Drosophila melanogaster: one gene and its partners. The protein of the gene in region 1 interacts with the protein of each later gene in a biochemical or structural test. Each region holds a gene or a part of one and is shown in the gene's direction. Other genes may lie near its edges. The genes, in order: Iswi, Chrac-14 and Chrac-16.

Evidence for each region.
Region 2: the proteins of Iswi (region 1) and Chrac-14 form a complex in vitro, tested with the Drosophila melanogaster proteins (one study listed by BioGRID).
Region 3: the proteins of Iswi (region 1) and Chrac-16 form a complex in vitro, tested with the Drosophila melanogaster proteins (one study listed by BioGRID).

What each region holds. Positions count from the first base shown.
Region 1 is NT_033778.4:12,634,828-12,641,395, forward strand, and holds Iswi (imitation SWI), read left to right. Parts: upstream 1-1,843; 5' UTR 1,844-1,954; exon of another isoform or gene 1,955-2,016; 5' UTR 2,017-2,115; coding exon 2,116-2,163; intron 2,164-2,226; coding exon 2,227-2,444; intron 2,445-2,511; coding exon 2,512-2,766; intron 2,767-2,827; coding exon 2,828-4,943; intron 4,944-5,002; coding exon 5,003-5,163; intron 5,164-5,224; coding exon 5,225-5,510; 3' UTR 5,511-5,801; downstream 5,802-6,568. Other genes in the region: Mvk (mevalonate kinase), read right to left, coding at 1-599; CG33672 (uncharacterized protein), read right to left, coding at 997-1,257; CG8785 (uncharacterized protein), read right to left, coding at 6,196-6,568.
Region 2 is NT_033779.5:8,435,471-8,438,516, forward strand, and holds Chrac-14 (chromatin accessibility complex 14kD protein), read left to right. Parts: upstream 1-1,934; 5' UTR 1,935-2,034; coding exon 2,035-2,421; 3' UTR 2,422-2,526; downstream 2,527-3,046. Other genes in the region: D12, read right to left, coding at 1-757, 815-1,705; mus201 (mutagen-sensitive 201), read left to right, coding at 2,906-2,993. UniProt on the Drosophila melanogaster protein: Accessory component of the DNA polymerase epsilon complex. Participates in DNA repair and in chromosomal DNA replication. Histone-like protein which promotes nucleosome sliding of ATP-dependent nucleosome remodeling complexes.
Region 3 is NC_004354.4:12,016,710-12,020,195, reverse strand, and holds Chrac-16 (chromatin accessibility complex 16kD protein), read left to right. Parts: upstream 1-2,234; 5' UTR 2,235-2,322; coding exon 2,323-2,745; 3' UTR 2,746-2,971; downstream 2,972-3,486. Other genes in the region: Lsm12a (LSM12 homolog a), read right to left, coding at 58-189, 255-371, 438-568, 871-1,015; regucalcin, read right to left, coding at 3,225-3,417, 3,475-3,486. UniProt on the Drosophila melanogaster protein: Histone-like protein which promotes nucleosome sliding of ATP-dependent nucleosome remodeling complexes. Part of the chromatin-accessibility complex (CHRAC) which uses energy/ATP to increase the general accessibility of DNA in chromatin.

The sequences.
Region 1 (6,568 bases):
TGATTAACACGCTCCGATTCATAAGCCCAGGACGAGATCAACGCCTGGTTTGCCTCCGACAAGTAGCTGTCTCTATCAAAGTGTCCGGCCAAAATGAGAAATGTCGTGGCCAAAGCTGCTCCGAAAGAGGCGGAACTGCCCAAACCCGCACCCACGGTTAGCTGGCTGTCTACCTGCACCTGGAAACCGGTTTGCAGCGTCAGTTTCTTGTCGCCGGGTGCGGAGAGTACAGCGCCGGCCAGCAAATAGTATATGGAGATGAATGCCCGCTGGGTGTGCTGCTTCGGTGCATTGCCTCCGGATCGTTCAAGTTGTTTGGACACCTCTGCGCGGACGGCTTCCAACAGATTGGCCGTGCTATCTGATGGGTATTTACTCCTAAATTCAGCCAAAAATCCATTGAACTCCGGCAACTGGATCTCCAGTGTGCAGTTAAGGGCCTCCAGTTGAAAACTTGCCACCTGGCTGTCCTCCAGCTGCCGAAATCTCAGAGTAGTGCCCAAACCCACTACGGCGGCGAGGGCGGGACGATGATAGACCACGGCGTGTTCGCCATGGAGTATGACCTTGCCCGGAGAATGGACCTGGAACTTGAGCATTGTTCTTGATGATCTCCGTGTATTGTGTGTTCTGTATTCCGTTTGGCTATGGCTTTATCGGTTTATCAGCTGTTTCGAATTGTAATGCTAATGCCTTTCGAGTGGACGACCTGCGACAAGTAGTTAAACTTTTATGGCTGTATTTCTTTATGTAACTTATGCATTTAGTGGATCATTTGCGTTGTTTATTCGGTAACTCCTATTTCTGGCTGCCGATTCCTGTGCTTTCCCTTTCACTTTCTTTGTGCGACTGGCGTTTTTCGGCTTGTTCGTCTCTTCGATCGGAAAGCGCAACCATCAGCAAAACGAACAACAGGTTTTTGCGGCTAGTGTTTGCTGTTGTTGTATCGCTCGTGTATATGTATGTGTGTTGTTGGTTTTTTTTTATTCGGTACTACTATTGGGCTTTCACTTTCTCCCACTCTTCGGGTGTGTAGGATTTCTGGGAGAATGCATGGATTTCTTTCAGTTCTTCGGCAAGCGTTGAGTTAACTAATCTATGCTTCTGGAGAAGGGTCTTGCCGCTGAAGGCTGGCGATACGATTACGGCGCTGAACTTGCCGCCACAGCCGTCTGATTCGTCCGTAACACTCACGTACTCCGTCTGCAGTTCCCGTTTGAGCTTCTCCTCGAGGTACTTTGAGTCGTATTTACTCATTTTGGATGGTTTTTTTTTCAAACGAAACGAGGTGATGGAGTGGTTGTGTGACCGTATTGGGCTTCAGGCAAAAACAGGTTTTCCATAAGCCGGGTGGTAGTTTTTCTATCTGCGCTGACCTTGGCCACACCTAGCACCATTTTAAATGTTCTTTTTCGGGGGGTTTCTTGCGATATATCTATTAAATACTTTAATATGGGGGTTGTCTAAGTAATTTAACAGATTTTGTCTTTGTTCATATAGTTTGGGGCAGCCATTCAAGTCTAAAACGATGTAGTACATATTGTCATATTTAGATTCAGTTTCCACCACAGGGCTTATTTCTAAAATATTATGAGACCCCATTAGACTTTTCGATTCCTGCTATATTCCATCATCTCAAACTTAAACATTAGGCAATAATTTTTAAACAAACGCAAACAATTTAAAAAGATAACCTATTTGATTAATCAGAATAACGGCTTTGTCTAAAACTAATAATAACGGCACACGGCCAGTGCTGCCATTCATAGTAATCCATCAAAACTATCGATAGTTCGTATTCTCGATTTGTTTGCCGCCACCGTCGCTGCCGCAGCCAACTTCGCGCATTCATCGCATAATCTAGCGATAGCACGCGCAGATTTCCCACCATTCATTAAAAAAAATCGCATGTAATTATTTACAATTTGTTTAAGCGAAACAAACATTGTTTTGTGTAAATTGCCTTTTATTTATATACTGAAAGTATAACTAACAGGTTGCACACTCGATTTTCAGTTCACATTAAACGACACCAGTGTGCAGCACGCTTGATTGGCGAGGGGAAATTTGTGGAAAAATTAAGTTCATTTAGAGACAGACGCCGGCATTGCAAATATGTCCAAAACAGATACAGCTGCCGTGGAGGCAACCGAAGAGAACTCGGTAAGTTAATATACAGCAGGCTTTGTCTAAGGACTTCTATACATATATTCTGAACTCTGCCAGAACGAGACGACTTCAGATGCGGCCACCAGTTCATCCGGTGAAAAGGAGGCTGAGTTCGACAACAAAATCGAGGCTGATCGCAGTAGGCGCTTTGATTTCCTGCTAAAGCAGACGGAGATATTCACCCACTTCATGACTAACAGCGCTAAGAGTCCCACGAAGCCTAAGGGTAGACCCAAGAAGATCAAAGACAAGGACAAGGAAAAGGATGTGGCCGAGTGAGTTAAACTCCCCCTATAAAAAAGCCAACTACTTTATCTATTGGTGTACTTTTGTATTAAACAGTCATCGTCATCGCAAGACAGAGCAGGAGGAGGATGAGGAGTTGCTGGCGGAAGACTCGGCCACCAAGGAGATCTTTCGCTTCGATGCCTCACCCGCCTACATCAAAAGTGGAGAGATGCGTGACTACCAGATTCGCGGTCTTAACTGGATGATTTCGCTTTACGAAAATGGTATCAATGGAATTCTGGCCGATGAAATGGGTCTAGGAAAGACCCTGCAGACCATATCTCTGCTGGGTTACCTCAAGCATTTCAAGTGAGTTTTCATAAACATCTATTGTTTTAAAGAAATCTCTAAATACCATATTTGCGTGCAGAAATCAAGCTGGACCACACATCGTCATCGTGCCAAAGTCAACGCTTCAGAATTGGGTAAATGAGTTTAAAAAGTGGTGTCCTTCCCTCAGAGCCGTCTGCCTTATTGGTGACCAGGACACCCGTAACACCTTCATTAGAGATGTGCTCATGCCTGGCGAGTGGGACGTTTGCGTGACCTCCTATGAGATGTGTATCCGCGAGAAGTCTGTATTCAAGAAGTTCAACTGGCGCTATTTGGTCATCGACGAGGCGCATCGTATCAAGAACGAGAAGTCGAAGCTGTCGGAGATTCTGCGAGAGTTTAAGACCGCTAATCGTCTACTTATCACGGGTACTCCGCTGCAGAATAACCTCCACGAGCTGTGGGCCCTGCTTAATTTCCTGCTGCCCGATGTGTTTAATTCGTCAGAGGATTTTGACGAATGGTTCAACACGAACACCTGCCTGGGTGACGATGCATTGATTACGCGTTTGCATGCCGTGCTGAAACCTTTCCTGCTCCGTCGTCTAAAGGCCGAAGTGGAGAAGCGTCTGAAGCCGAAGAAGGAGATGAAAATATTTGTGGGTCTATCCAAGATGCAACGCGACTGGTACACCAAGGTGCTGCTTAAGGACATTGATGTAGTGAACGGTGCTGGCAAAGTGGAGAAGATGCGACTGCAGAACATCCTTATGCAGCTCCGCAAGTGCACCAACCACCCATATTTGTTTGATGGCGCCGAGCCCGGTCCGCCATACACCACGGACACGCATTTGGTGTATAACTCCGGAAAGATGGCTATTCTGGACAAGCTGCTGCCCAAGCTCCAAGAGCAGGGATCGCGTGTGTTGATTTTCTCACAAATGACGAGGATGTTGGATATCCTCGAGGACTACTGTCACTGGCGCAACTACAACTATTGCCGCCTGGATGGTCAGACGCCGCACGAAGATCGTAACAGGCAGATTCAGGAATTTAACATGGACAACAGCGCCAAGTTTCTCTTCATGTTGTCCACCCGAGCCGGTGGTTTGGGTATCAATTTGGCTACCGCTGATGTTGTCATCATTTACGACTCGGATTGGAATCCTCAAATGGATTTGCAAGCTATGGATCGTGCTCATCGTATTGGTCAAAAGAAGCAAGTGCGCGTTTTCCGGCTGATCACCGAAAGTACAGTGGAGGAGAAGATCGTGGAGAGAGCAGAGGTCAAGCTCCGTCTGGACAAGATGGTCATCCAGGGGGGCAGATTGGTTGACAACCGCTCCAATCAGTTGAACAAGGATGAAATGCTTAATATAATCCGTTTTGGAGCTAACCAAGTGTTCAGCTCTAAGGAGACAGACATTACCGATGAGGACATCGATGTTATTTTGGAGCGCGGTGAGGCCAAGACGGCCGAGCAAAAGGCAGCACTGGACAGTCTGGGCGAGAGTTCGCTGCGGACGTTCACAATGGACACAAACGGCGAGGCAGGAACTTCTTCCGTATATCAATTCGAGGGTGAGGATTGGCGCGAGAAGCAAAAGCTAAATGCGCTGGGCAACTGGATCGAGCCACCGAAGCGTGAACGCAAAGCCAACTATGCTGTGGATGCCTATTTCCGCGAGGCTCTCCGTGTCTCCGAACCCAAGGCACCGAAGGCTCCCCGCCCACCCAAGCAGCCTATCGTTCAGGACTTTCAGTTCTTCCCACCCCGTCTGTTTGAGCTGCTCGACCAGGAAATCTACTATTTCCGCAAGACTGTTGGTTACAAGGTGCCCAAGAACACGGAACTAGGATCGGATGCCACCAAAGTGCAGCGCGAGGAGCAGCGCAAGATCGATGAGGCAGAGCCGCTTACCGAGGAAGAGATCCAGGAGAAGGAGAATCTACTCTCACAGGGTTTCACTGCCTGGACCAAGCGCGATTTCAACCAGTTCATCAAGGCTAACGAAAAGTACGGTCGGGATGATATTGACAACATTGCCAAGGACGTGGAGGGCAAGACTCCGGAGGAGGTTATCGAGTACAACGCCGTGTTTTGGGAGCGATGCACTGAGTTGCAGGATATTGAGCGAATAATGGGACAGATTGAGCGTGGAGAGGGCAAGATTCAACGGCGATTGTCTATTAAGAAGGCTTTGGATCAAAAGGTAGTTAGCATTGTTTCTGTAGAGTATCTTTAATATATATGAATATATTTTTGTTGTAGATGTCGCGGTATCGCGCCCCCTTCCATCAGTTGCGGCTGCAATATGGTAATAACAAGGGCAAGAATTACACTGAAATAGAGGATCGCTTTCTGGTATGCATGCTTCACAAGTTGGGCTTTGACAAGGAGAATGTCTACGAAGAGCTGCGAGCGGCTATAAGGTGAGCAAAAACTTGGTTTTAAATATGAGTAAACCCCTTATACATTTCCGTTCTCTTACAGAGCTTCTCCGCAATTCCGCTTTGACTGGTTCATCAAATCTAGAACCGCTTTGGAGCTACAGCGTCGCTGCAACACGTTGATTACCCTTATTGAACGTGAAAACATTGAGCTGGAAGAGAAAGAACGCGCCGAGAAAAAGAAAAAGGCACCAAAGGGCAGCGTGTCCGCTGGAAGTGGAAGTGCCAGCTCGAACACTCCAGCACCCGCGCCCCAACCGAAGGCCAGTCAAAAGCGGAAGAGCGAGGTGGTGGCAACCAGTTCCAACTCGAAAAAGAAGAAGAAGTAAAGCGACAAAGCAAACAGATATTTTTCTGAGATTCGGCTCTACACTCAGCACTAGGCAGTTAAATAGTTAAGACAAGCGATTACTTAAACATATTTTACTCTATATAGTTAATAGTTCATATCTCACGCCGGAAGCAATATCACACCAACCCCACCCCCAAAATCTGAAGTTTTTTTAAACACCCGCCTACACATCCGACTACATTACTATTGCGTGCCGCTGTATTCTATTCCAAATAATTGTATTGTGTTCTAAGACTATAATCATTATATTTATATAAATCAACACAGCATACAGATTGTTTCACTTTATATTCAGAGGTGGATTCCCCGTAAGTAAAAGGCGACATATTGAATGTTTTGGTACTGTTCGCTTTATGTTTTGGAATGCTGAGCAACTTAACGTAATAACATATATAAATTCTATGAATTGCTGCTTAGTTTGTGTAACAGGGCACTTAAACTTAATATCATCTTGTTCATGCAGTCAACGGCATCGGCAATTTGGCATCCGAGCCGCTTGACCATGTTCAACATGGCCATAAGTTGGGTCTGATGTGAATGTGGGCTTCGCCTGCTTTTTGAACTCATACTTGTCTTTCATCGCGCTTCCATTGTTGGAGCTACCTGCATCTAGTGTAATACTACGTCTCTGTTTGAAGGTTGAACCCATACATATCGAATCCTTAGTCGTCGTCGCTATACATTTCGATGATCTCGTTGATGCTGGCGACGGCACCAGCAACCAGGGCAAGAATGGAGAACACGCCCAGGAAGATGTTCTTGACCAGCTTCCACTTGCACACGCCCAGGCGGTCGGGCCACAGATAGACGGTCTCCACGAAACTGGGCACAAAGATGCCCAGCAGCGAGAAGAACACGGCACCCACCAGACTGATGAAGGGTTCCAGGTTGGGGATAGCAGCAGCTACACCACCGCTAAGCAGGATAATGCCGCTGCGCAGCAGAATCTGTGTAATATTGTGCTTCTCGGGACTGAACTTGTGACTGATCTTGCGCCAGAGGATCTCGTTGGGCACATAGAACTGCAGGCCAAAG
Region 2 (3,046 bases), on another chromosome or scaffold:
GCTTTATTGGTGGCCGATCCGACGAGGATTCCTTCCACGCTCTCTGCGGAGATGCCGGTGGATAGTGCTTTACTGGCGAAAACTCCTGCCGCTGCCTTTCTGGCAAGGATTCCTGCCTAGGACTTCGGCCGTTTACTGGCAGATAGACCACAGAAGGCTTCGAAGCGGTGACCTGAGCCGCATTTAACCGAAGTTGAGTCCTAGGAGGCGATGACGGAGTGGGTGGCTGCTTTCTTGGACTGTAGTTTAACTTCAGGGGCTCTGAAACCAACACAGTTGGTTCAATTTTCTCAATGTCGTCGCTGAGTTCAATTTTGTTGATACCAGCAAACAGATTGTCATCAAGTTCCTCCTTATTTTGAGTGATTGAAATGGTGCGCGGTTTGCATGACTCTCCAGGAAAGGCGAAAACCGAAGGCTCTAAAACATTCGGAGCAGCCAGAGGTGGAGCAGGAACTGCAGTCTCCTGTTCATGGGGAGGATGAGGTTTGCCGCTTTTCTGTTTCGTTATCGCCTGTTTTGCTCTCAGCCATATTTCCACAGTGGTCTCTGCGCCCATCGTGTGCAGTCCACACATTGTTTTATCCAGCACCACCGTGTGCATTAGTTGCACGGGTTTCTGCTGCAAGTGCTCTTGGAAAAATAGCTGGATGCGCATCGGAAACTCGCCCCAACCATGTCGGTTAAGCTGAAACGGAGACCTGTGCACGTCCACGATGTCGTTTGGGCGGTATGACGGATGGAGGTGGAAGCGCACCTAGAATTGCGAAGAAGAGATTGAATCACTCCGTACGTGCTTATGGGAATTACTTACCTTTTTAATGTATTTTTCAAGTGGTTCAGGTAGATCTTTGCCTTGCACATAGACCAACCACTTATAGGTCAAAGCATTCCCACCTGTGCCATTCTCTCGAGAGTCTTCGCCAATGTATTTGGAAGTATTACCCACCACGAAGTTGAATTTGTTCTTGTTATTCAGCCGCGAGGCATTCAGCTCCACTTGCCTTTCGTGGGCCTGTCGGCTGGTGCACGGCTGCTCGTCCTCCAACTTAACGGAAATGGGAGGTTCCTGCTCTGGCTGATCTTTTTTGTCCTTGGAGTGATCGGTTACGATGCCCTGCTCCTTGATCTTCTGTTGCCGCCTTCGTTCCGCCCGACGATGAGCCGGATTCCTCAGTCGGATGGTTTCTTTGGCCAAGGTGGCCGCCGTGCGCTCTGGCAAATGATTTTGGATGACAACAGGGCGCTTGCCAACGATTTTTTTAATGGCTGGATGCAGTGGCAGCTGCGGAGCGGCTATGTCGTCCCCAAAAAGGCTGTCGCCGCGCACTTTCGCAATATCCGCGCCGGTGAGGGGGACCTGCTGCTTTCGGTAATATTCGCTGACCACCTGATAGCGTAGTCTGTCCAACAGTTGTCGTCCTTGCAGCAGTCGTCGGTCGATCTCGGCCAGCTGCTCGACCTTCTGAGAGATTTCGCGCTGGAACTCCAGACGAAGCAGCTCCCGGATGCGCTGAAATTTGTCGGACAACGGCAGCATGCCATCCGACTGTTCCGTCTTGGTCCACTTTCTTTGACCGGGCGACTCGGCTTCTGCGCAGGTTTCTTCCTCATCCTGGCTAGAAACTTCCGTTTGCTGATAATCTGGATCGTGGTACTCGCTGTGCCTGCGTTTTTTTGGCGGCGTCGCTTGTTGCTGGTCCATGTGCGTGGTAGCTGGCACACGCACAGGACTTGTATCACGTTAGTTCGGAGGGGAACAGCTTCAAGTTTGGCCCGAATCGCTCCGTGCACATTTAGGCCGGGGTAATTGGCTGTTATTTATAAAAATGTGTAAACAATTGATGCGAACGAGGCGGCGCAAACAGAATTGAGTGGGGGAGTTGCCACATCGCTGGTGTAGATGCGTGCACGCTGGCCTTGTCCAACACTGTTCAGCCAGCTGTTTACTCTTTACGCGGGAAGCAAAGACGCCGAAATCTAGACGGAAAATCAAAAGTGCCCACCAAGTAAAAGCAGATAAGCAGCAGCAAAATGGTCGAGCGCATCGAGGATCTTAACCTGCCGAATGCCGTGATTGGCCGGCTCATCAAGGAAGCACTGCCGGAGTCAGCTAGTGTCAGCAAGGAAGCGCGAGCAGCGATCGCCCGAGCGGCATCTGTGTTTGCCATCTTCGTGACATCCTCGTCGACGGCGTTGGCCCACAAGCAGAACCACAAGACCATCACGGCCAAGGATATTCTACAGACCCTCACCGAGCTAGACTTCGAAAGCTTCGTGCCCTCTCTGACGCAGGATCTCGAGGTCTATCGTAAAGTGGTCAAGGAGAAAAAGGAGAGCAAGGCCAGCAAGAAGGATTCCAACACTGCCGAAAATGCCAACGCCAGTGCCACCGCAACAGCAGAGGAAGCCCCCGAGTGATTACGAATAGGAGAAACTATACGGATCAATTATCCTCTTCAGTCATTAAGAACAAAGCTAGTATTGAGCATTAACAAAAAACATTAAACATAGGCATTATCTAAGAACTTCACTTGTGTTTTGTCACTTTCCTCAAAGACTAAATTATGTTGTTAGTCAACGTTTACATGGGATTAATTTGGGATTGTAAGTGACGGTTGGAATTACACCCTTAAATAATGCCGCATTTCAATCCAGTCCGATCTAGTTTTTTACGCCTTCATTCAAAGTATATAAAGGTGTCAGAATAATATTTAAGTATTTCAGTAATTATTTGTTTATATATGTGATCAGAAAATCACTGTTTTAAAAATCATCCAGATAGATAACCGCGTGTTCTTTCCAGCACTGGAAACAGCTGTTTAAAAAAGCGCGTCTTATCGCAACAAAAAGTTTAGTTAGTTATTATTTTGCATGTTTTATACAATTAATATTTTAGTAGAAAATGGGAGTTACGGGCTTGTGGAAGCTCATTGAGCCGTGCGGCAAGCCAGTCCCCGTAGAGACTTTGGAGGGCAAAATCCTAGCAGTGGGTAAGCATCGTTTTTCGCCACCTAATGAAATACTTGCTGATTGGAGTACTTTT
Region 3 (3,486 bases), on another chromosome or scaffold:
TTCATTTCGGATTTATGACAGTTTGCTTGAAGGTGCTGCGGTTGGGCAATTGCTTACGATGCGCTTGATGTAGTTGCATGAAGTTTCGTTGTTCGAGCTGGACACCACGTTGTCCACTCGGTACGGCGGCGAGATGGTGACTTCATTTAGGATCTGTATGTTAAGTCCTTGCCAGGAGACTTCATTGTACTACAAAATAGTAAAAGAAATAGCAATGGTTAATGATGATAGGGCATCGTGCAAGAGGTCATTACCCCGTATTGTTTGGCTATCGCTCTATAGAGTTCCTGCGCCTCTGGACTGACATCAGCATTCTTAGACTTCAAGTAGTCCTGTCTTCGCTCAACTGTTTTCCTCAGACGCATTTTGACCTGTATAAGCAATATATATATATATATATATATATTTATGTAAGTGGTCAGAGCTGGCATGCTTACCTGTTCCAGATTAAGCTTTTGCGGATCATCAAAGTTGCCGTTGCACTCCTTGATCACCTGCACGTTGCTGCAGAGCGAGAGGTTCATCGCGTAGATATCACTCAGCTCCTCCGTGGACTTGGATCGGCATTCTATGCGGTTGGAAAGGGAAGAGAAGAGCAGGAACGGGGGGCAAAGATATACGATGTACGGAGAACCAAATTGTCAAGCAGTAAACAATGGGTTTGATAAGAGATAGGTGATATGTGAATGCTATCAGTTAAGATGAGTGTGAATTAGAATTATATACGAATCTAAAGGACAGTGTGACTTTTTGTCCAGACAGCTCAAGAGATCCCTGTGGACAGCCGGAGAAAGTGCTCGCTTTCACCCGGCGGGCAAGTTGTGTGTGTGTGTGGGTATGCATTTCGGGGATTTCGTTGCAAAAGGATACTCAGGATAAGCATCTTTGTGTTGTGATCGAAGGCCAGCACCTCGCCCTCCACCTCCTCGTTGAAACAGGTCGTACAGACGACTGTGGATCCGATGCTGAAGCAGTCGTTCACTGCATTCACTGCGCTCGCAGCGGCAGCGGCCATTTTTAATTGCTGGTTGAGATTGGCCAACTGGAAAAGTGCACCCACAAGCTATGTGGATAGGGGATTCGAATCTAGATCTAAATGTCGATACTGGTTTGTTGGCACGCCGTTGCTTGAACAACGTTTCACAAACAGCGATGGTGATGATGTTGATGATTTTGCGGCAGCAGCAGCTGTTTTGGATGCTTGAATTCCTGGAATTCTCGAAAGGATTTAACTAGCTCTCTCGCTCGCTCTCACTCTCGCCGTCTGTCTGTCTCGTTCTCTCGTGCCGTGCAGCTCACTCGCTTTCACTTGAACCGCTCTAATGGAAATGTCGCTTCCTGGCGATCTGGTCGAGATCCTGCTCCTGCTTCCACTGCCCCTGATCGTCGCGTGAATTGGCCAAAAACTCGCTGGTTACTCGCTCGACTAGCTATCGGCTATCTATTTTGGCGGCAATTGCGGTTCGGTAATTGAAAAGTTGGAAAAGTACGCGAAAAATTTATTGGTCAACACACGAAACAACAGCCAAAAGGGGGCAGCAGAAAACGCAGTGTTGCACATGCCGCGCAGCGATAGGTTCGATAGTCATCGATTACGGAAGTCTGGCAACGTTGCTGCAAACAAATCAAGTGCAATAATAATTTATTGATATTTATTTATATGTGAGTTCGAAAATGAAGACAGATTTTTAAGCTATAAGTGTGAAAATCCAAAGTTGATTGCATACTGAAAAGACAAAAGTAGATAATATTGACTTGTCTAAATGTTGTTGCAATTGAATGTTTCCTTATAAATCGTGCAGATCCTAATCGTTTTACCCCTAATCTCTTGATTAAGTTAAAGGTATTTGCTTAGAGCGGTTTTTCCACTAATAAATTGAAATATTTGGAAAACTTTTATTAAATACTTGTTGTGGCTACCGATAGCATATCGGCGCAACGTTATTTGGTTAAATTCCCGCTCCAGCTAGAGCTGAAAGTATAGGCAAATCCGAATGGGTTTCTCAATTTTTATATATTTAGCGCTATAACTTAATTCTGAGAAAGTAACACATATATTATTGTGCACATCCAATTCCTTGCAAAAATAGAAGTATGCCAGCATTGTTCGTTTTAAGGGAAGCCCTGCGGTTACTTATTTTAAGTCTTCATAAACCATAACCATCGATAGCAAATAAAAAAAAAGAATCGATAGTGTCTCAGAAAGGTACGAATTTCATGCCTCGATTGTAACATCGATAGTTTCACAGCTCCACTTGTGAGCCCAGCTCTAAAACCAAAAAAATTCCCAAGCCATAGTTTGCTTGGGAATTAAGTAAACAAATGGGCGAACCAAGGAGCCAACCACCCGTGGAGCGTCCACCGACCGCGGAAACCTTTCTGCCCCTCAGCCGCGTGCGAACGATCATGAAGAGCTCCATGGACACGGGCTTGATCACCAACGAGGTGCTCTTCCTGATGACCAAGTGCACGGAGCTATTCGTTCGCCATTTGGCGGGCGCGGCATACACGGAGGAATTCGGCCAGCGACCGGGCGAAGCGCTCAAGTACGAGCATCTCTCCCAGGTGGTCAATAAGAACAAGAATCTGGAGTTTCTGCTGCAGATCGTGCCGCAAAAGATCCGTGTACACCAGTTCCAGGAGATGCTGCGGCTAAATCGCTCCGCCGGCAGCGACGACGACGATGACGACGACGATGATGACGATGAAGAAGAGTCCGAATCGGAATCGGAGTCTGATGAATAGACGGTCATGCAGATGTTTATCTACACCGAAATTGAGTGGATGATCTCCATTCACCAAAACATCGACTGATTTTTTACGCCACCTTGCTATCTTTAATTTTAGACTAGACGATAAGTATAAAATTGTTTATAGAACCACTGATTAATAAAGAAGCATAAGAGCACTGCGTCCTCCAAATGACCATAAGATCCGCGGATGATTACCGTGTGTCTGCGGCTGATAAGATTGTTGTTTGAAATCAGAGTAAAGTAGAGCATAGTCAACCTCTTTGTGAGTTTACATGATGATCCTGGATATTCCCAGGAGAGAATGTGATCCTTAAGCTGACCTTGAACTAGAACTGCAAAAAAGGATAACCTAACTAGCATGCAAAACATTGATAGACGCGATTTAAAACGTTAAAGAGCATAACATATAATTGCACTTGGATTCGATTGGTACATTTTACTGCGGCTAAGGATAGATAGAGATTGCAGCTCCTAGACCTTCAGGTTGACGCCGGGATAGCCGGTGGCGTTCAGTCCGGTCACCTTGTAGGTGGTGCCAGCTGGAGCGGGCTGATCGAACTTGGCGGCAGTGGTCACGTACAGGATGTCCAAGTTGGGGCCACCGAAGGCGGCGGAGGTAATCTGTTTGGTTGGGAACTTGATCTCAAGCAGAATCTTGCCAGTGCTGCAATGAAGTACGACATTTAACACTCGATCACGAATGTTAGAGTGAACTACTCACTTGGGATTAACC